Schizosaccharomyces pombe: one gene and its partner. The protein of the gene in region 1 interacts with the protein of each later gene in a pairwise test. Each region holds a gene or a part of one and is shown in the gene's direction. Other genes may lie near its edges. The genes, in order: dim1 and prp1.

Region 1 (12,595 bases):
GGTCGTTTTGTCTTTCCCATCATTTCGTTCTTTCAATTTAATGTTACTTCAGGCCTTTCCTCTTTGTATGGATTGAACGCATGGCACTATTACCTTTCTCAAGCCCTCCCATTAATATGCGGAGGATTTCTTCCATTCGTATTACTCACAATGGACCTTCAAACAGCGGGAACCATTCTTTGTGTTTTCTTTCCCTATTCACTGATAGGACATAAAGAACTTCGGTTTGTATACCCAATTTCACCGATTTTACTTACTTTAGCTGGAAAATTTTTTTCATCATTTTCCTCTTGGAAGCGTGCAGCACGGTTTTTCTTCCTTATTGGATTGGGACATGCTCTGGTAATTACATTTTTATGCCGATTTCATCAATTTGGAGTCATGGAAGTTATGCCATTAATACATTCACTTGCTGAAAAAAACCAAACTGGTCTAATACTTGCTCCGTGTCACACTACACCATGGCAGTCGCATATCCATTCACCTTTTGCTGAAAATGGATGGAAGTTCTTGACATGTGAACCGTTCGAAAAGCCCTTTGATGAGACGGATCGTTTTTACGAGAATATGCCTACTTTTCTAGATAAAATTAAAGAATGGCCGGATTATCTGATTTTCTTTGAAGAGCGGTTTTATAGCTTATACAGCTATCTTGACTCCCGAGGGTTGAAGTATGAAGAAGTACAGAGGTATTATAACTCCTTGATTCCTGAAAGTCGAGAGAGAGCTGGAGCTCTGTTAGTGTATAAGAAACTCTAATTACATGATTCTTCATACCCCAAAAATTTCACAGGTCAGCATAATTATCTGCATTTTAACAACTATTGATGTATTTTAAATGAAACCACTGATGACTATTACTTGCTTTGGACAATATTTGGTTTATCCCTAAAACGCCAGCTTGATTTCTAGCTCCCCATTATAAACGATTTGCATTTCTATTATGGTTCGTGGATTATAGAGGGGGCCATATCAAGTCTTCACAGAGCAAGAGGAAGCAACAATTTGTAGACGAATAAAGTAATCCTAAGCCATTTACTATTAAAACTTAAGACATGGGTGGAACACTTATCTTCCCCGAAGCCATTATCATGAATCAACATCATTTTAAAATTTTCAACCTTTGGCGACTTTAACCTTTCAGAAATTTTCTTAAATACAAATTTATAGCATATCCTGCACTCTCCAAACAAATCTGAAAAAGAAAAGTTAGCTTACAACGCGAACACCCAAGTCACTTAAAGAATTTGCAATTGTAATTTTATGCTATGGAGTCGAGAAAAACGCAAAGGTCATTCGTCTATGTTGCGATTGGGACTTGAAAAAATAATTTTATACGGCCTAGCTACGATTCTAAATTAAATTTTTTATAATAGTATTTCACAAAATATTTGGAATATTACGGATACTTTAATTTTTAAACACAGTAAACTGCTTAAACGGTCGGTTTCTAGAATTGTAAAAAATTCTGAATTTCATTGTTTTATTAGATGAAGTATGAATATATATAATTGTAGTAAACACATCAACGATTCAACTAAGCATGTAATGTACGAAAGTAATAGCAATCCCACTTGTGTCAAGAATCTCATAACTTCACTAAATTTATTTACTGAATAGCATTTACACTATTATACGCTTTTTTACGTAGAGTTAAAGCATTGCTACATCCTAACGCGCAAAGTGTATATTGTGTGACTTACATATCTACACTATTCTCGTCTGCTAGAAATTACCAAAATATTGCAATTCAGCAGCTTCAGTTGATATAATGAGTTATTTTTTACCTCATTTACATTCTGGATGGTAAGTTTTTGTGATAGATGGATTTATTCTTCTCTAACTTATGTTTATAGGCACGTTGATCAAGCAATTTTATCAGGTACGCGAACTTTAAGAAACGTAGAATGTTTCTCGTTTCACAACTTCGAATCAGCTTATTAACCTTTTTTTTTATAAATAGAACAAGAGCGCTTGGTTGTCATTCGATTTGGTAGAGATCATGTATGTTCTAATGTCGATATCTACTTGGATTAAGTCTATTTAATATTGTAGGCGGATTAATTTACTAACGCGTAACGGAATAGGATGAAGAATGTATAAAACAAGATGAAGTCCTATACAGAATTGCTGAAAAGGTCGTCAACATGGCTGTCATATATTTAGTGGACATTGACGAAGTTCCTGACTTCAACAAGGTAAGTCTAAGTCTTAGTTGGAAAGTCATGTTGCTAACCTTATTACCATCTAGATGTACGAGCTTTATGACAGAACTACAATAATGTTTTTTTATCGAAACAAACACATGATGATTGACTTAGGTACTGGTAACAATAACAAAATCAACTGGCCGTTAGAAGATAAACAAGAGATGATCGATATTATAGAAACTATTTTTCGTGGTGCTAGAAAAGGTAAAGGTCTTGTTATTTCTCCAAAAGATTACTCTACCCGACATCGCTACTAGAAGCCACCATTTGCTTATGCAAGAAAATGGAGAGGGGATAGAAAAATCATAGTAATTTGATAGTTTTTGGCTAAAATGAAAAAGTCTTTTTGCTTTAATTTTTACGCATAATTTGTACTTCAAATGGTATAACCCTTCTTTTAAAGTCAGTAACAATACAGGATTTGAAATTATCTAGTGGATGAATTGTAATAAAGTATTATCAAATCCTATGAAGAAATTACATTATATGATTAAAGAAAAGCATGAACATGATTACTCTTGCTATGATTTAACAAGAGAGGTAAAAAAGTGACACTCAAGTTGCCTTATTAGTTGATCTAGCGTGTTTCTTTAAAGCCAGCAAAATCTCGTCAAGAAGGGTGTATATAACATGAGCGTTTAGAGATTGGTTTTGGAGAATACGAAATATTCTTTTCACAGCAATATCAGGTGTATAGCCGGGAAACATGGAAGCAAGCAAAATCCCTGCTTCTGCTTTCAATTGATTCCTATCAGCATAAGCTGGCTTTCGCGCCCGTGAATGACGGCGGTCTTTGGAGTGATCATGATTAGATTTACCTTCAAGTCCTCGTCTAAACTCGCGTAACTTCCTATAAATCTTCTCAGGCGTAAACAACTGAAACAGTTGTAGTCGTATACGCTTTTCCAAAGCTCCGCCAAAAAGTTGTTCCAATATCGATATATAAGTTTTTTTCGGTAACCATTGCTGCTTTGCATCGTCATTTGGAGAAAACAATTCGACTAAAAATTCCGAGATGGGACCTGAGAATGACGAGTTAGTGTTAACGTTGGATGCGTTGAAAGAATTATTAACTTCAAACCCTAAGACTTCTAAAAGCTGCTTCCATTTTTTGCCAACTTCTTTAGGATTAAACATTTGTGGTGCTGTGATATTTTGTTGTGACAAAAACATCCTCAACATTTTGCTGTCACAAACCTCTGGCATTCTGAATAATGATTGAAGATATTCTTCTAAAGCACCCCTTCGATATTCCAAAACATTTTTGTTTAAAGAGGTGATGATCGATTTTTGAGGAAATTTTAAAGATCTGACTCCAGGGTATGTTTGCTTTAGCTGCTTATGCAACTCTGCAAACTCTCGATACCGTCTAGCCACCATCCATCCGGAACGGACATGTCCATTTTCAAGTCGTTCAATGCGTATGGTGTAAACAGCAAAGTCTGGGGTGTTCTCCTCTTTGCTAATTTTAAATGAATCAATAGACACCCGAGAGCGATTAAAGAGTTTACTGTCTTCTTCTTGCGACATATACTGATCTCGTTGACGTTCTTTGCGGTGAATTGCTTTTTCAATCTCTTGATGGTTTTTAGTAAGGCTTTTCAATTGCTTTTGGTCAGCAACCAGCTCAGCCTTCTTTATAAGAGTGTTGATAGCGTTTAATTGAGCTTTCAACTCCTCGATGTTATTGTTTAATTCATCGATACTTTCAGAAAGTTGGAGATCACCTGGTGGAGCAAATAAAACTTCTTCTTCATCACTATAGGTAGGATCATCCAATTCTAAATCCAAAGGAGAGAGGTTTTTATCCCGAGAAATGGACGAAGAGACAGATAACTGAATAGAGGGAGAAGGAGATGAATTGATGGATTTTGACGACGAAGAAATACTAAGATATGAAGGTTGTTTTGATATCGCTGGTATGTTCTCGCCCAACTCTTCTAATCTACTGAACGTGGCAGAAGAATTGGTAGACTTATGATCAGATACTACATCTTGGGCTAGGAACCTGTAATAGATCTCGCTGTTAACGAATTCAGAATAATCACTGTTCTGCATGATATCGAACACATGCTCTTGAGCCATAAGCATTGCATTCCTAGCCTCTACCCATAGATCAGGGTTTAAGTTATCTTTACTTTGGTTAACGAATTTATTAATTGTATTAGTGAGAGGCTTTGGGATGTCCAGTGGGTTATCGACGCTTTCAAAGTATGATTTGACAATGGCTGTAAAGTCTGTATGGTCAGAAACGATATCGGAAAACGGCGCAATCATATGCGCATTCAATGGATCATCCTGTGATTCTTTTAGGCCTTCAACTACAAGCCAAAAATGCAAATAGCGAGATCTGTTCTTTCTCTCCATAAATTCGAGAAAACAGGAAACCGCCGCCGAGTCAGATAGGATTTGAAGTAGTGATTGCACTTGTTCAAATAGCACCGCTTCTTTATGCTGAAATGGAGTTCCAGAAAGTAAGGAAATCCTTTTCTCAGCAGTAATTATAGCTATCTGTAATCGCTCCCTATATTGTTTAAATTCAAAATCAAATGCTTCGGTCTGTTCAAGTTGACGCCTTTGGACCATTAGTTCAGAACGTAATCTTCGGGCATCTGAAATATTAGAGATTTTTTTAATTTCATGAATATATTGTTCAAAAGAGTGTTGACTATCTTTTAATCGGAGACGACGTGCTCCAACCTGAAAGTGATTAGATTGCTTGCGAATGGCACGTTTCAGACGACGAATCTTTCGCCGACGCTGAATTATACTACCGCTAGCCTGAATAATTAAATAGTTGAAAAAATCAGGATCTGAAATATAAGATACTAGCGGTAATAATGTAGTATTAATAATAACCTCTGTAACGAGCGAAAGTACAAGAGGGCTGGTTTCATAATAATTCGGTAGAATAATAGACAAAACTTGTGTCGTCCAATTTCGTAAATATCTCTTCTGAGCTACCATGGGATTTCCAGAAAGAAGTACTGCTTCATGCAATCTCCCATGATCATATTTCGCCGCAACTTCACGAGACAGTTCAGAATGGTCAGTAAAGGATACTGCCTTATTACCTACAACAAGCTGTTCTGCTTCAACGAATAATCTTAAATGTTTTGTAATCAGTGGTAGAACTGTTTTAACCAAAACATCAGCAAGATCAATTTCATCAACTCGACTTAATAACACCATAAGACATTTTCGCAAATGGGATTCTATACTGTTTGAAATTGTCGGTTCGGGAATAATTTGATAAGACCATACCTTAATATATTTTTGCATAAAATGTGAAATAATGGATTCTATCTCTTCAGAAATTTCAGGTATTCCTGGATATAATGGCTGACGAAGAAGAAGTTTGGAAAGTGCCAATTGACGCGCTCGTTTTTGGAATATAGCTGGGTTAACAAGAAATGGCTCAGATGTTCCAAGATTATTTTTATTTTCAAACGTTCTCGTCTCCAAACAGTACCACAACAAACAACCAGAAGCCCATAAATAGATAATTTTGACAAAGAAACTATGAGCAAGTATCCATAAGATGAAGATACCTCCAGTGATAAAGTAAAAGATATGCTGCTGGTACATTTGGTCCTATAATGGTAAGAGCCAAGTCCTTCTATCTATGGATTTTCTAGTTGGAAAAATGACATTTCAGAATTTTGAGGCAGTCGTTCTTTTTTGCAAACAAAGTGCACGATAATTTAAATTTTTTTATATAATTATTCTTCCTTGTTAGAAAAATGTAAATTAAGTATCTTCTACTACCGGAAAATGGTAAGCAAAGATCAGTGCACAAAAAATCCTAAACGTGAGATTTTGTAATCAGAATGACGAAAAAAAGAGAGACTTATTGAAAATTGAGCAATTATTCAAGATACTCCCAAATAAACAGCCAAGTTGACTAATTAGTCGAAATAGCCACTTTTCACCTCAAAACTTTGGTTTATATTTTATCGTACAATAACTGAAATCAATCGTCCAAAGATGTAATTTATAGCAAGGAATTAAATACTTTACTTCCTTAAATATTCAATCTTTATGAAAGCTTGACAATGGAGCTGTTGTAGTCAGAATTTATCAAAACAAGTGTTTAGAATTGGTTAGCAAAGTTAGGAAAGTACTTGACCAACACCAAAATGTCAATAGCTCAATTGTTTAACCAGAGTTGGGTAGAAAAATCAAAATATGTCCCTGTAAGATTAAGTGATGAGGAACGAAAAATTTTGAGCTTGTTAGAAGCAGCGTAAGTAAATCCATCTTATGGAAATGCCTGTTGGCCGAGTCCCGTTTGAAATGTGGAATGTTCAAGGGTTCCTTATTTTAAAATATTACCAATAAAGAAATATTTTTCTAATAGTTATTTCCAAAGTGTTTGATTGTGCGCGATTATGTGAAACTTTTACAAGAACTGTTCGCATAAATTATTTCTCTTGTATATGAACTGTTACATTATTTAATTATTATTGAACACTTTCCCGTTTCTCGGGACATAAAATTATACGATCGTATCTGTTTTTGGTGGATCGACCAAAACTAACAATGAAATTATAGACTTGAAGTAATTGATTATACGGGCCATGTCGACATTATCTCTTATACCACCAGGACCAAACTGATGGTAAAATACTTGAACGAAATGTGCAGTATAGTGATGGGACTTGTCACTGCAATGGATATTAAAGCAGGACGTGATTTACTAATTGGAAGAGACCACAAATCAAATGCTAGGTTTTTTCAAACCGTTTTTGAAATTGGAAGGAGATACAAAATTATGAATCCCGAGAAAATGCGTGCAACATATGGTGCTGTTATGTATATGTGCCAAGACAGTTTAATTCCAGATGTTCGTAGTCAACTTGGCTTTGATTTCGTATCACCCATAAAAACTGTATACAATGTTTTGGAAAAGCACAAACTTTTGGGTCTGCTTGAAGAGAAACAGCTTTTAAACAATCTTTTAAAACAGAGCGATCCTCAAAGTAATGCCAATGCCAAAGCAGAACTGTTAAAAGAACGGGAAGAAGCTTCAGAAACTCTTTTGAAAAAGTATAATCCAGGAAAAGATGAAAAATTACAGAAAGTGCTTACGGACTGCTTCGCTTCTTTAGCTGATCATGAAGCTTTCCTTTTAGCTAATCGAAATCCTGTGGAAAAGATGCGTGCCTATTTACATAAATTTTTTAATCCACACGACACTAAAAATGGTAGTTTAAAGATTGGATATATGACTGGTGCCAAATTAAATCACGACCATAAAACTCAATTTTTCTATGTTGATCAGAGTTTAGTGTTTTGGTCCTGTATGATGGACCAAATGTTTCTTTTATGGTTAGAGAGCGACGCTTCTTTACTCGATAAACATTCTAGGTACTTCATTAGTGACACTGGCCAAGGTTTAAATCGTGTTCAGCTTTGTCCATTAGTTCGATCTACAGTTACCAGGATTCTATCATCCGTTCAGAAGCAACAAGAAATCCCTTGGATGGGAAGCTCTGTAATACACTTAGGTGATAGGGATGTTCCTAATGCCCTGATGTTTATTGACAAATATCGCCAAGTACCTCACATATTAGCGCCATTGGTCAAAGTTTTACAGCAACTAGAATTTTTACGTGATCCATACTTGGTTCAGTATATCGAAAACGAATATGGAAGCGTCAATGGACTTCAAAAAACAATTTTGTTAGACTTTTTTCGTCATGGTTTTAATGGTCAGGGATCTGATGGTGGAAGTTGTATTGATGGTCGGCTCACTAGTGCATGGAATTGGACCAACGAAATTACTAAGAAGAAGTATTATAGGATTCTTTTAATGTCCGGCTTTCTCAACTTTGAAGGAATCTGACGTTATTACATCTTTTTTTGCAAATCGGCTTTTCTCCATCACTCGTAATTCATTTTTCCACAAAAAAAAAATACATATGAGGATAAATATCATTCTTTCAGTTACCCACTAAACAAATTATTATTCAAAGGATTCTAACATTTTATTAAGTGATCCAGTAAATTATACACAACCAAATATCCATTATTTTAACCAAGTAAAAAAAACCCAAATTTAACAGGTCATTTTTAAATTAAGAGTCTTCATTCCAGAATTGGGAATTAGGAAGAGATTTTTTTAAATAACATAATCCACTATATAGGAATCCTCAATGAGATCGTTGACTCTTGCAAGATGACGATCAGTATACGGTATCATAGAATCTAAAATATCTTTAATACCAGATAATTTGAGAAGGTGTTCAGGGGAGTATGAATGTAATAAAAGACGTAGCAATCTTTGAGCAACCATGCTTGTTTTACTATTAGTATTCCAATCACGAATGCGCTGAAACAAGATTATTAATTGATGATCCGGAAGCTGAACCAAAACATTATCCACATCTTTATTCCCAGTAATGCTATTTGGTTGATGTGGAGCTGTCATAACTCGTTCAAACAGTCGCAAAAGTCCATGAGGACGGTCTAATGACAAAGCTAAAGCAATAGCCTGTTGCCAGTCTTCTGTTTGCTCAAAATTTGATAAGAGCTGTTCAGCCTCAACACGACGCTCTAATTCCTCAGCTTGTTTGGCAATGTATTCTTCAGTTACATCTTTCCAAACGCTAACTACTGCATCTGCACCTCCAGAAACCAACAAACTCCCGTCGAACCTTGAAGCTAAAGCCCACACACGGTCTTCATGATTGTCGAGCGTAGCAACACATTCACCAGAGCTCAACGACCACACTTTGACCAAACCGTCGGCAGCAGCACTTACGACTTGGGTTCCTTGAGAAATGTAGATCAGTTTCAGTATTGCACCTGTATGACCTTCTAAAGTTTGCACACACTGTTGAGTATCGACATTCCAAATACGAATTGTACGATCACCACTACCACTAGCGAGTTGACGACTAAATGGGTTAAATGAACAGGCCCACACACCCCGACGATGTCCGCGCAGAACACCAACCACTTCACCCGTAGATGAATCCCAAAGCTTAATAGTCTTATCTTGACTAGCCGAAGCAATAATTCGTCCATCCTTTGAAACTTGAATAGCATTAACATCACGATCATGAGCTTTAATAGTCCACACAGCTCTGTTTGAAAAATCGGACTTATTTAGCTGAGAACCTAAATTAAACCGTTTAAGTGTTCTATCTTGAGAGGAAGATGCCAGGAAAGTGGGATAACCATTAACATCCAAAGGTCCCAGAGCGACAGCCGTGACACTAGCCGTATGACCAGTGAATACATGAATACATTTATAAACATTATCTTCAATGTTTAAATTCCAAAGACGCACAGTATTATCTTTAGCACCAGTTGCCAACCAAACACCATCTTCAGATGAATCCAAAGTAAGGACTATATCAGTATGACCCTCAAGCACCCCAAAGACTTGTGTACCGTCTGTGGAAATAACATCTATAAACTCGGTATTACTGCAAACAGCCAAATGATCGTCTCCAATCCAAGCACAATCGATGACTTCATCAAAAGATCCGTTGAGTTTTTTAATGGTAATAAAGCCTTCGCCAGGAACTCTCTTACGCAACAAGAGACTTAAATCGGAATGTACAGACAAAAGTGTGTTTTCAGAAAATGGTACGACTTGTATAATTGCATTCGTTTCTGAATGAGTAGTATCAACACCTGGATCAAGTCGGGAACCAGATTTCCAATCCCATGCTAAAATAAGATTACCTTCACCAGCTGTATACAAAATTTTTTCTTCAGGCTGTCCATTGACCCAACCTATGGCCTCGACGCTATGGAAAACAGGAATCGTTCTGACTGCAGAACGCTTCTTAATATTCCAAACCTGAACCGTTTTATCTCTAGATCCACTGAGAAGAAATGAACCAGTTGGTTCAAATGTCAATCCACGAATAACACTGCTATGACCTTCGAAAACAGCCATGGATCGACTAGAGTTTAAATCCCACAATCTGACTCGAGAATCATCGGCACCAGAAGCCAAAACCCAAGTATTTTGATGCTTGCCAAAGCATAATGCACTAATGACACCGCCATGACCCCGAAAACTATGAGTTACATATGCTCCAGCAATGTCCCATACTTTTACTAATCCCTCAGCACCTCCCGTAGCTAACAATGTATTAGTGGGATCTATTGTCATCGTAATTACCGGAGTTTCATGAGCTTTCATCGATTTTATACGCCGTCCGGAAGGAATCTCATAAATAGTAAGTAGTCTCGACCGAAAAGCCGCAATAAGTTTTTTTGAATCGCTAGTTATCGCCAAGGCTGTAACGTAATCGTCCTCATCCTTTTTTATAGAAAAAAGACGCTCTCCAGTCTCACTACGGGTTCCAATTATACGATCAGTTAAAGCAGTAACAAGAATCTTCTCATTAGAGTCGAATGCAACAGGACCTCCCGTGTAAATAGGCTCAATGCTTTTTTCTAACTCAAAGCTAATTATTAGTTCATGTGTTTCAATCTTTTACATACCGCTTTTTCTCCCCAATTGGCGCCATGAATGATTTTGGTTAAGAGCATCATTTTTTACAGTCAAAAAGTAAATAATTGTTCCAACTACAAATTTACCGTTCTTTGCTATATATTTTTACCGTACTTTTATATTTCTCACTATACTCCTTCTCCTCGCAAGCTAGTAAACGGAATAACATAATAGAAAACAAGAATGCTAAAACTGCTACACCAATTTTTACTTACGTTGGTAAAAGAGTAGGTAAGTTAAAGAAAAAACCCCCGGAGATTCATTGCGAATTATTTTGTAAACTATTTAGTTCTAATAAGGAAGAAGGACTATAAACTGATTAACGTAACTTCCAATTGGGGACTAAATCTTGGAGAAACCAACAAAGAAAAGAAGCAAAAAAAATATGTGAAAAACAGATACTTGCCTTCCTAAAAGGAAAACATTGAAAGAAACGAAATAGGCTTTTTTCGTTTTAATGGAAAGAAGTAAATTTTTTTAAGGACGGAACACTTTTTTCGTAGCTTTATTGAGGATGGTCCCAAAGGGATGTGTGATGGACACAACCAAAGCAGAATTCTTCAAATCCGATTAACTTAATTATAAATTTTTAGATAACGTTAAACAAATGAAATATACATTAGCGGAAATTATAATATATGGCGGGTAAATGTTCGTATATGTACATAAAACTCGAAAATATATATACTTCGGGTTTCCCATTGTTAGGTTCATCAAGCCAGGTGGACCGGTAACTATGCCAAAACAGGTCTCGTAGTCGTTGTCGTTTGTGATACGTCCATGTTGTAAACGACTGGTCGCTCAGGTCTGGTTTCAGGAATATTTGACACACCGGGTTCAGTGGCACTGGCATACGGATACTGAGCAGTGGTATCAGGGACCAAGTCTGGAGTAGCATAGCGTTCCTCCCCATCCGGTAATACAGCAGCAGGAGGCTCCATGGGAGCCACATAGGATTCGGGAACCGATGTAGCATACGCACCCTTTTCGAGATCGGGGGCACTGGCTAATGAATCGTAAAATAAAGCGGGTGCAAGGTCAAGACATAATAAGCAAATGTAAATGGACCATAAAAAACACACAACCCATTCAAAGCGTGCTGAACGACCACGGTAATTGTGATGAAGACCACCGAATGCAATGGCGCAAATGATACCTACGACAATAATGACAAACTTGAATATAAATGAAACCCTTAAAAGGCTGCTCTGTGGATAGTAGCGAGTGGCTGATAGCCATTCAAAAATGTTGCTAGCGGCGGAAACAAATGCCAAGACAACAAACGCTGCTGTAAATTTCCAATGAACATTATCGTGGTGCACATCATCACGAATGGATAGGGAAATCAGACATGAGGCAGCAGCAGCACCTGTTAGTGCCGCAAACCATCCTAAATACGTTTCAACTTTTCTACCCGTTGGGTATATCCAGCCCCATTGTCGAGCAAGACGAATCATTATAAACGTCAAAAAGTAAAACACACCCGTGATAACACACATGGGTATGAAAAATCCCTTGGTGTAAGCACCCATATCACTAAGATATACGGGATCAGGTTCACTGGGAGTATGCCATTTATCCTGGGTGCTCCACAGACCCAACAAGACAATCAGTCCAATTGTCCACATTAAAAAGCTGACGAGCGGGAAAAGTATGAAGAAGAACCCCCAGAATCTGGGTCTTCTGGAAGTGGTAGTAGAAGTAGTATAATCGTTATCCATCTTAGGGTCCAAAAGATCTGGTTTTTAACGCAAAGATAAAGTATCAAATAATAAAAATAATAAATAGGAAATCTTTAGAAATCAATGATATTCAGTCAATGAATATATTTTAAAAAATATAAAAAAAAAAGTAAAATAAAGAAATTATTTAATCAATATGGTGATTTGATATAAAAGAAAAGAAA
Region 2 (9,637 bases), on another chromosome or scaffold:
GTGCGTGGATACTTACAATCAAAACTACTCTTTCAAAATTTAAAATACGAAATTCGTTCACAGAAGGTAACTCAAAATGCTATTAAGGATATTTTTTATTTATTTCAAATATTCGGGGAGTGATGACTGTAAAACGACTTTTGCGTCAAAGGAGTTTTTAAAGCCAAACTGAATGGTTGGTCTATTTTGTAAAGAAAGACTTAAATCCGGGTCTCTTTGATAATGTAATGTTAAAAAAATTTAGTTGTTGTATGCTACCAAATTCTGCTCAACCCAAAATTCAATAAGACGCTCCGATGATTGCTATTAAAAAAAAAAAAATGATATAAATTAATGTCAATCTAGCCTTTCAAAAAGATAGACATATCCGGTAGTTTTTGCTTCTTCCAAGGAGGCAACTTGAAGCACCTTTTCATCATTAAACAAAACCCATTGCTGCTTTCCATCTATCTCTTTGCGTATAAATGCTACATAATGACCGGCATGCGCACTTGAGCCCTTATGGCTTATTATGGCCTTTAAATTGTAGTTGACTGGAACGTTTGTCGATTCCCAACTACCCATATTTTCATTTTTTATTGAAGAATCTGATCCTTCAAGTGGTGGTTCTTCAAAACTTTCATCCGGATGATTTAAAATCCAATCAACTGCGCGCTCAATATTATTGTTAGATTCAAGCAATCCTTTTCGTGCTTGTGCAACAGTAAAGCCGAATTCACATAATGATTGAACATTTTCTTCTGAAACACTTGAGTCTGCTTTGGGCAGTAATTCAGAAACTTCAATAGGTTTGTCAATTTCAGGGTCCTCCATATGTTCAAATAGCCAGTTCATGGCAGTTTCAGTATCAGAATTTCCAGTAGCGAGTAATGCTCGTTGGCATCTGACTAAAGGAAATCCCATAGCTTGAAGCTGTTCAATAGCACTTTGGTTCCATTCAATGGTCTCTGTCTTTTCAGGAAGATAATCTTCGTCATTTGGGTGGTCCTTAGCCATTAAGCGATCGAAATTATAAATTCCGTCTTCATTAACTATTATAGGGATGCTTAATTTCTTAACTTGATATCCCTGTAAATCAAACCGGTTGGCTTGTAGGATCAAGACTTTCGGGAACGACTTCATGGCAGTAGTAGTTGTAGCTCCTAGTTTACTTTTACAAGCTTCACAAGTATACTCCATTTGGTCTGGTTGTATAGTTGCATCTAAACATTGGTCTATTGAGACTTCTTCATAAATTTGCTCACCCTCAATTTCACCAATTTTAACACGCGGAACTGTCAAAGTCAATCCCTGAGAAGAGAAAGAAGAATAGCGAACGCGTTTACAGGAAAGACAAGATAATTTTTGCTCCGTTTCAAAGTCAAAAATCTTAGTAATGTCAGTTTTCGCAATACTAGATTTCCGTATTTTCCCCAGCAAATACAATAAAAACTCATAAGCATCTTGCTGTTGAGAAGTTCCAAATTCAGAATGCCCTTGTCCCACAACATCTTTGAACATAAAAGGCCTCAAACCATCTTGGTAAGGAAGAATCGATGAAGAAGGATTATTGAGTAAACCAATTTTGCTAGGTTTAGAAAATTTCCCACTTACTAAACCATCAGCTAGTTTACCAAGTTGACATTGCAAATCTGTAGTGGGGGTTTGACAAACAGAATTATAAGTGTTGAAAAGGTTTAATTCGTGAATAGCAAATTCCTTAATAGAAAACAACGACTGCATAGTTGAGGCCAGATAACAGCTATTACCAAGATTTTTAAGACCAGTTAATCCTGGTCCAAACAATCTTTTTGAAGCGTCATCCTCTTCGGAGGCACCAAAATCCCAATTTAAATTTTGCTCTAATTGTAGTTCAGCCAAAGATTTTTCAGTTTTGTTCAACTTGGCGATATCGATGCCGAAATTTAGCATATGTGTCTTTATATTTGGGTCAATTCTTTCCTCATCGCAACTATAACAATATATATCAGCCTGACCATCAGGTGAAATGCTTTTGAGTTTAACTGCAAGCGGATGTCCTGTATCATCATAATGAGAAAGGGCGTGCCCATTCCCACCACCTCCTCCGTACTGTTTTCTTCCACAGCTTAATGCGCCACATGTTAAACACATCCATAGATTTTCTGCAAGATCACATTTTGAACATGTAGCATTGTCCAAATTTGTGACGTAAGTTTCATTTTCTGGTAAATTTATTATATGATCACAAGTAGTTAATTCATTTTCCCATGCAGTTAATTGACTTTTGTTTGATGCCTTGGTAGCATTTTTCATTGCCTCTAATGATAACGAAAGTAAGGGATCCTGTATATCTAATATTATATTACAGACCAAACACTTAGGGACATAAAAATAATCATATAAATCTTCATCACTATCTTCTCTGATCTCAAGTTTCGTAATTTTTTGGGGAGGCTCATCATTAATTTTTTGCTTAGGTTGCCTGGCAATGGTGACCACAATTGGGTGCAAAGTTTGTTCAAAATGGACAAGTGAGTGTTTTAACCCAGTTTCCCCACATCCAGATTGAAAACAGGTTAAGCATAAATCAATTCCACCTTCTTCATCCTAACGTTTGTTAACGAATTTGAACTCCTCTGAGTACATGTTTTAAAACAAGCTATTTAAAAAACATACCTGCGAATTAAAGCAACGGACGCATTCTTCACGATATATTACCTGAGAATTATCTGGGATTACAACGTTTGTCTCTGTGAGGTGCGGACACGACATGGGTTGCTATAGGTGTTTATGGATGGATGGACATGAGGTAGGCAGAATATTAACATTAGTTAATAATATACGTGCATCTTGTTGATTAACGTATCGCTACAACTAAAATACCATCATGTTTTACAGAGGGCTTAATTAATACTCCTAATCCTGCATACCAAACTCTTATTAATTCGTTTAATTATAAACTAAATTGCAGTACGTTACAGTACTGCAACGAGTAATATCATTATAACTCAATTTTCCTTGTTTGTAGAACTCCAGAGGTCCAATAATTGAACATCCTGGGGTTATTCTTTTTATTGTGTAAATAAATTAAAAACCAAGAATACTGTGCATGAACTATTACCATATTTAGACTTCCGAGTGCAGATGTATGCTGTCGAGTCTACCTATACTGCTGATTAGATATTGCTTATTAAAACAACATTTGTATCATTTCCTGTAAGCTTGCATTTTTATATTGAATATTCGAATAGAATACTCATTGCTGTATCCATGTATTAACGCAACAGTGGACAGCGTAAATAACATTGGCATATATAATGTTATCAAGCAGGAGATTTGTAGAAACAGCTTATTTACACAGTCTTAAAATAACAATAGTTAATTAATATTTCTTGAATTTTTTTTATGATAAGTGAAAATCCACACATCAGATTCTACTATACTCACTCAAGTTGTAAACAGATGGTTAATATACGCTGTATTTATTAAAATATCATTCTGAATATATCATTATCATTTACACAGGTACTCCTGAAATTTATAATATTAAAAAAAAAAAAAAAAAAAGAGAAAAAGATACAGCTAGATTAGCTGCCGTATTTTCTTTAAACCAAATTTATTTACACACTACATACATAATTCATGCCTATATTTATAAATGGAATAAAATAGAACAATTTTAATACCCAAAATTAACCTGGAAAAGCTAAGTTAAAAATGAAACGAGCCATATATATTGCCGATTATTATCATATTTTGATATCAGTGTTTTGCAGATGATTCTAATCTAACATATCTGAATCTTTTATTCTTTTTTGTGAAACTGACTTGCTTGCATCTTATGGCTGGAGTCAGTATAAATTTCTTAGAACTTATCAATCCAACGAATATACTTCTAAAAGATATTACATTAGCCTTGCACAACCTGCAGTTATAATCAAAACACTTAATCAACGTAGCTCAAGCATGTCTATTTAAGATGTTAAATATGTTTTGGTAAATTACTTTGCAAATAAAATTCTAAATACAATGGTTTGGCATTATGATAAAGAATAAGACAATTTACAAGCGAAAATAAATTTGACTGATGTGTCCAGGTACACTCATACTAGATACGATGAGCATTGATTTGAAACACCAGTATAATATACCGAGACATTAAAAGACAAACGTAGTGGCCATGCAAAAATATTGCTGCAACGTCTGTCCAGTTATCACTCGGATTCAATTAAGATTTGTTTAATTCCAATACTCACAAAGCTTGTGATGAACAATATTTTTCGTAATTTCAACCGTTCTGCATACTTTACACGACATTGATTTACAAAGTGTAAATTCATCTTCAAAGAAAAGTAGGAAAATAAAAGAAAGGAAGAAAACACTGTTCATGCATTTTTTCAAAATTGTTGCAAAAAATCTAATAAATTTATTTGGCTATCAAATGCTAAATCATAAATACTCGTGTGTTAGCGGTTCAGTGTATAACAAGTCAATCACAATGCTTATTTATATATCGTTTGATTGTAAAATCATTACATACAGTAGGAAATTTATTTTGTTTAAGAAATATTCTATCTTAAGTTTTTCTAAATTTACTTTTACCTAATGGCTCTTTTTAACTTTGTTGTAGTAAAGCTGCTAGGAGTTAATTTCTCTTCTTCGTATTGCCTACTTTTAAAATTTGAAAGCCACTACCAGATATTTATAAAGCCGAAAGGCTCGGCTTATTGCATTTAATTGCAGATAATTAGAATGGCAAACTTTTATCCAGATTTTCTGAATATGCAGCCACCTCCTAACTATGTAGCAGGTTTAGGACGTGGTGCAACAGGATTTACAACGCGTTCAGATCTTGGGCCTGCTCAAGAATTGCCATCCCAAGAATCTATAAAGGCTGCAATTGAACAAAGGAAATCAGAAATAGAGGAAGAAGAAGATATCGATCCTCGTTATCAGGATCCTGACAATGAAGTAGCGCTGTTTGCTACTGCTCCATATGATCATGAGGACGAAGAAGCTGATAAAATATATCAATCTGTAGAGGAACATTTAAGTAAAAGAAGAAAATCCCAACGTGAAAAACAAGAACAGCTACAGAAAGAAAAATATGAAAAAGAAAACCCCAAGGTTTCTTCACAATTTGCGGACTTAAAACGTGGGTTATCCACTTTGACAGATGAAGACTGGAATAATATCCCAGAACCCGGCGATCTAACTCGTAAAAAAAGGACTAAACAGCCGAGACGTGAAAGATTTTATGCAACAAGTGATTTTGTTCTTGCAAGTGCTCGCAATGAAAATCAAGCTATCTCTAATTTTGCAGTGGATACTCAAGCAGGAACAGAAACTCCAGATATGAATGGGACAAAAACAAATTTTGTTGAAATTGGAGCTGCTCGTGACAAAGTTTTAGGTATCAAGTTAGCACAAGCTTCGTCGAATTTGACTTCACCATCGACTATAGATCCGAAGGGGTATTTAACTAGTCTGAATAGTATGGTTCCAAAAAATGCCAATGACCTGGGTGATATAAGAAAAGCTAGAAAATTGTTGCAAAGTGTTATTGAAACGAATCCAAAGCACGCCTCTGGCTGGGTAGCTGCTGCGCGGCTTGAAGAGGTCGCGAATAAATTATCTCAAGCACAATCTTTAATTTTAAAAGGTTGCGAAAATTGTTCTCGCTCTGAGGATGTTTGGCTAGAAGCAATACGACTACACCCGGCTGCAGAAGCAAAAGTTATTATTGCAAATGCCGTTAAAAAATTACCAAAGTCAGTGACGTTATGGCTTGAAGCCGAAAAACTTGAAAATCAAGCTCAGCACAAAAAAAGGATTATAAAAAAAGCTTTAGAATTTAACCCGACTTCTGTAAGCTTATGGAAAGAAGCTGTAAATTTAGAAGAAGAAGTGGATAATGCAAGGATACTATTAGCTCGTGCCGTTGAATTAATACCCATGTCCATTGATTTATGGTTAGCTCTTGCTCGACTTGAAACTTATGAGAATGCTAAAAAGGTGCTCAATAAAGCCAGACAAACCATCCGTACTTCCCATGAGGTTTGGATTGCTGCTGCTCGTTTGGAAGAACAGCAAGGTAATGTATCACGGGTGGAAAAAATAATGGCTCGTGGTGTAAGTGAGTTACAGGCTACTGGTGGTATGTTACAACGCGATCAGTGGCTTTCCGAGGCTGAAAAATGCGAAACTGAAGGGGCAGTGATTACTGCACAAGCTATAATTAATACGTGCCTCGGTGTTGGATTGGATGAAGAAGATCAATTCGACACCTGGTTAGATGATGCTCAATCTTTTATAGCTCGTAAATGTATAGATTGTGCGCGTGCTGTTTTTGCTTTTTCTTTAAGAGTCTATCCAAAAAGTGAGAAACTTTGGCTGAGAGCTGTTGAACTTGAAAAGCTGTATGGTACAACAGAAAGTGTTTGTTCTATTTTAGAAAAAGCTGTAGAATCATGTCCTAAAGCCGAAATTTTATGGTTGCTTTATGCTAAAGAGCGAAAAAACGTTAATGATATTGCTGGTGCTCGGAATATTCTTGGGAGAGCTTTTGAATATAATTCTAATAGCGAAGAGATATGGCTTGCTGCTGTCAGAATTGAATTTGTGAACAATGAAAATGAACGTGCCAGAAAGCTACTTGCCCGTGCTCGTATCGAATCGGGAACTGAACGAATATGGACTAAATCCATTTCGCTTGAACGAATTTTGGACGAAAAAGATCGGGCGTTACAACTTTTGGAAAATGCACTGAAAATTTATCCCCATTATGATAAGTTGTACATGATGAAGGGTCAAATTTTTGAAGATAAAGAGCAGATTGAGCTTGCTCGAGACGCATACTTGGCTGGCACAAAAGTTTGTCCTTATTCCATACCTTTGTGGCTTTTGCTAGCCAAACTTGAAGAAAAGCAGTCCGTTATACGCGCGAGAGTTGTGTTTGATAGGGCTAAGGTTAAAAATCCTAAGAATGAATTTTTATGGCTTGAACTTATAAAAATGGAACTCCGGGCGGGGAATATTTCACAAGTTCGTGCAGCCCTTGCTAAGGCCTTGCAGGAATGCCCATCTTCGGGTTTGCTGTGGACGGAGGCTATATGGCTTGAACCTCGCGCACAGCGTAAAACTCGTGCTACAGATGCTTTAAGGAAATGTGAAGGCAATGCACATTTACTTTGCACCATCGCCAGGATGCTGTGGCTGGAAAAAAAAGCAGATAAGGCGCGTAGTTGGTTTTTAAAAGCTGTTAAGGCTGACCAAGATAACGGAGATGTGTGGTGTTGGTTTTATAAGTATAGCTTAGAGGCTGGGAACGAAGACCAACAGAAAGAAGTGCTTACAAGTTTTGAAACCGCTGATCCTCATCATGGTTATTTTTGGCCCAGTATTACTAAAGATATCAAAAATTCTCGGAAAACTCCGCAGGAACTATTACATCTTGCCATAAATGTGTTATGATTACGACAAAAATGATGACTGTAACATATTGGATCTATTATTTATCTTAAAATTAATGTTTAAATTGGTATTCGAATTTACTTTAGATATTTGTAAATTTACGGACTTTTTAATAAAAAAGAACGATTTTTAAACAGGTTCGATTGAACACTTACTTTAAATCAACAAGAATACCAGTTAAGAAAGCAGTAAAAGTGTAAACCAAAACTTTTTATGTAATACACACTATCAACACGAAAGTGGGTTTTAAAAAACACAAGGGAAAAACTTTCAAAAATAAGACAAAAAATTAGAGAAAAAAAAATTAAGTAACCCCTTTTAAGTATATGTTGCCTTTACTCAGCAACGGGATTCCATTGTGAATATATATCCCAGCGACTAGATTCGGCTTGACGCGACACATATTTGACAAATTGAAGGACACCTTCATCTCTATAAACCAAAGAAAAAACATTCCAAGCGGCTGGCAAAGAAAGCAAAATACTGTCATCTTGCTGATCACCCCTATACACAGCAGCATCTACATCAGGATCTTCATCGCCAATCATATAAATATCATATGCACCATTGTCAGTATTCGCAATGCCTGTCCCCGGAGATAAGCAAAGAGTAGCTTCTAGTAAAGCTGTGTCATTCGTAGTAGCAAGCGTAAAATCGGAACCAGGGCGGAATCGTCGACCAACTTGATGAAAGGAACGAAGGGGTAAGCCACTGACAAGTTGGATCCAACGCTGAAACGCAGGAAGGCGCTGCAAATCCATGGGCAAAATAATATCAGGGCCAAACTCTTCATGATCTAAATATAGGTACCTGTGCTTATGAGGAGGAATGGCAGTTTTCCAAGGGAATGACACTTCGGAAGAATGCATAGGAGTGGGCTGCCTTTCAGCATCGATGATTCGCTTAAGGAGAGTGTTTGCAAATTCCTGATTTAAAAACTCTACTAAAACAATAACAGAATCTTGAAAAAAGCGTTTTGATAGTTTTTCAATGCCATCAGGTGTCAGGTAAAGTGGATTAATATAATTGCTTAAAATATCAGTATCCTGTTTGGATAAAGGTTCTGGCTTAACAACTGGGTAGTATGAAAACCGGGGAAGTTCTAAGTCCATTTGTTTCATTGTTAAAGACTGCAAAGTAGAAACGGTATTGTCGCAGTAATTAGCGTCATAACCAGGTTCGCCAGGCTGAGGGTAATGAAACCAGCCGGAAATAGCCATTCGAGGTTTATCTACATAAACTTCTTCAACATCATGGAATGAATGTCCGGGCTTAACTCGGAAGAAAGAGAGTTGATTCCATTGAGGAGGAATGGAGTGACAAAAATCAGCAGCAGGAAAGGATGGTTGTAATGTAGGAAACAACCGGAGTGCACCTCCATATTCGGGTTTCCAACCTTCGTCAGGTTCTACCAAGTATAAGATATAGGAAATGCACCTGGTACCAATAACATCGTCATGATTCATCAAATGGCATCCTTTTGAGTAAACATTAACAGACAAATCTTTTTTGCTAGCCGATAAAGGGCCACAGCCGGTAATCTTTTGAACGTGAGAGCGAAATTCCTCAGAGTAAAGAGCATCACGAACTTGACGCAAATACTTAAGCATGTTTTGCTCTTTCTTGTCTAATCCATCCAAGTTTGCTAGATCACCAGTTTGCCAAACACGGTAAATATCAGTTACTTTCTCTGTAAAATGTATGTTTTCCATAAGTTCCTTACGAACATTTCGAAGAAGTGTATCATTGATCAGAGGACGAATCACAACATGATTATACGGTCCATTTTTGTGATATTCCCGTGAAAGTCTTTCTGCCTCACTGGTATCTAATGCATGAGGCGCAAATCTATCCAGCACTGTTGGTTGTTGAGTATCCCCCATCCCGTTTTTATATTTGAGATTTCACCTGAATATAATGTGCAATTAGGTAAAAATTTTAGTGGTTGGCAAACTCCCAATAGTAGCAATGAAAAGCATCCCACCCATTTTTATGGACTCGGGTCTCACCATAGGTAACATTCTTGAATTATCGTAAGACTTTCTTAGACCTCCTATTACGGAGTGACTTCGGTAACTGTGAATTTGTTTAATGATAGGGAACGCAGGTTAATTCTTCGCTTGCTTAAAACAACGTGCTATCCGTAATTCTGCCTATTGCTATATATTTGGATAGTAACGCTTCGAGCTTAAAGAACAGTATA

The links.
Region 2: the proteins of dim1 (region 1) and prp1 interact in a two-hybrid assay, tested with the Schizosaccharomyces pombe proteins (2 studies listed by BioGRID).

Annotation. Positions count from the first base shown.
Region 1 is NC_003421.2:867,811-880,405, reverse strand, and holds dim1 (U4/U6 x U5 tri-snRNP complex subunit Dim1), read left to right. Parts: upstream 1-1,734; 5' UTR 1,735-1,771; coding exon 1,772-1,806; intron 1,807-1,817; exon of another isoform or gene 1,818-1,856; coding exon 1,857-1,882; exon of another isoform or gene 1,883-1,963; coding exon 1,964-2,004; exon of another isoform or gene 2,005-2,087; coding exon 2,088-2,198; exon of another isoform or gene 2,199-2,251; coding exon 2,252-2,467; 3' UTR 2,468-2,602; downstream 2,603-12,595. Other genes in the region: gpi10 (pig-B family GPI synthesis protein), read left to right, coding at 1-759; sorting nexin Snx12, read right to left, coding at 2,766-5,798; SPOM_SPCC16A11.03C (uncharacterized protein), read left to right, coding at 6,350-6,456, 6,765-8,058; U3 snoRNP-associated protein Utp13, read right to left, coding at 8,335-10,642, 10,680-10,705; inositol lipid-mediated signaling protein Sfk1, read right to left, coding at 11,424-12,410. UniProt on the Schizosaccharomyces pombe protein: Plays a fundamental role as a protein essential for entry into mitosis (G2/M progression) as well as for chromosome segregation during mitosis. May play a role in mitotic spindle formation and/or function.
Region 2 is NC_003423.3:2,637,277-2,646,913, forward strand, and holds prp1 (U4/U6 x U5 tri-snRNP complex subunit Prp1), read left to right. Parts: upstream 1-4,644; 5' UTR 4,645-4,713; coding exon 4,714-7,434; 3' UTR 7,435-7,621; downstream 7,622-9,637. Other genes in the region: ubiquitin hydrolase Ubp14, read right to left, coding at 337-2,568, 2,638-2,733; ofd1 (2-oxoglutarate and Fe(2+) dioxygenase domain-containing protein 1), read right to left, coding at 7,770-9,317. UniProt on the Schizosaccharomyces pombe protein: Involved in pre-mRNA splicing. Interacts with prp6 and prp13. May also be involved in the regulation of the G0-G1/G2 transition. Required for pre-spliceosome formation, which is the first step of pre-mRNA splicing. This protein is associated with snRNP U5.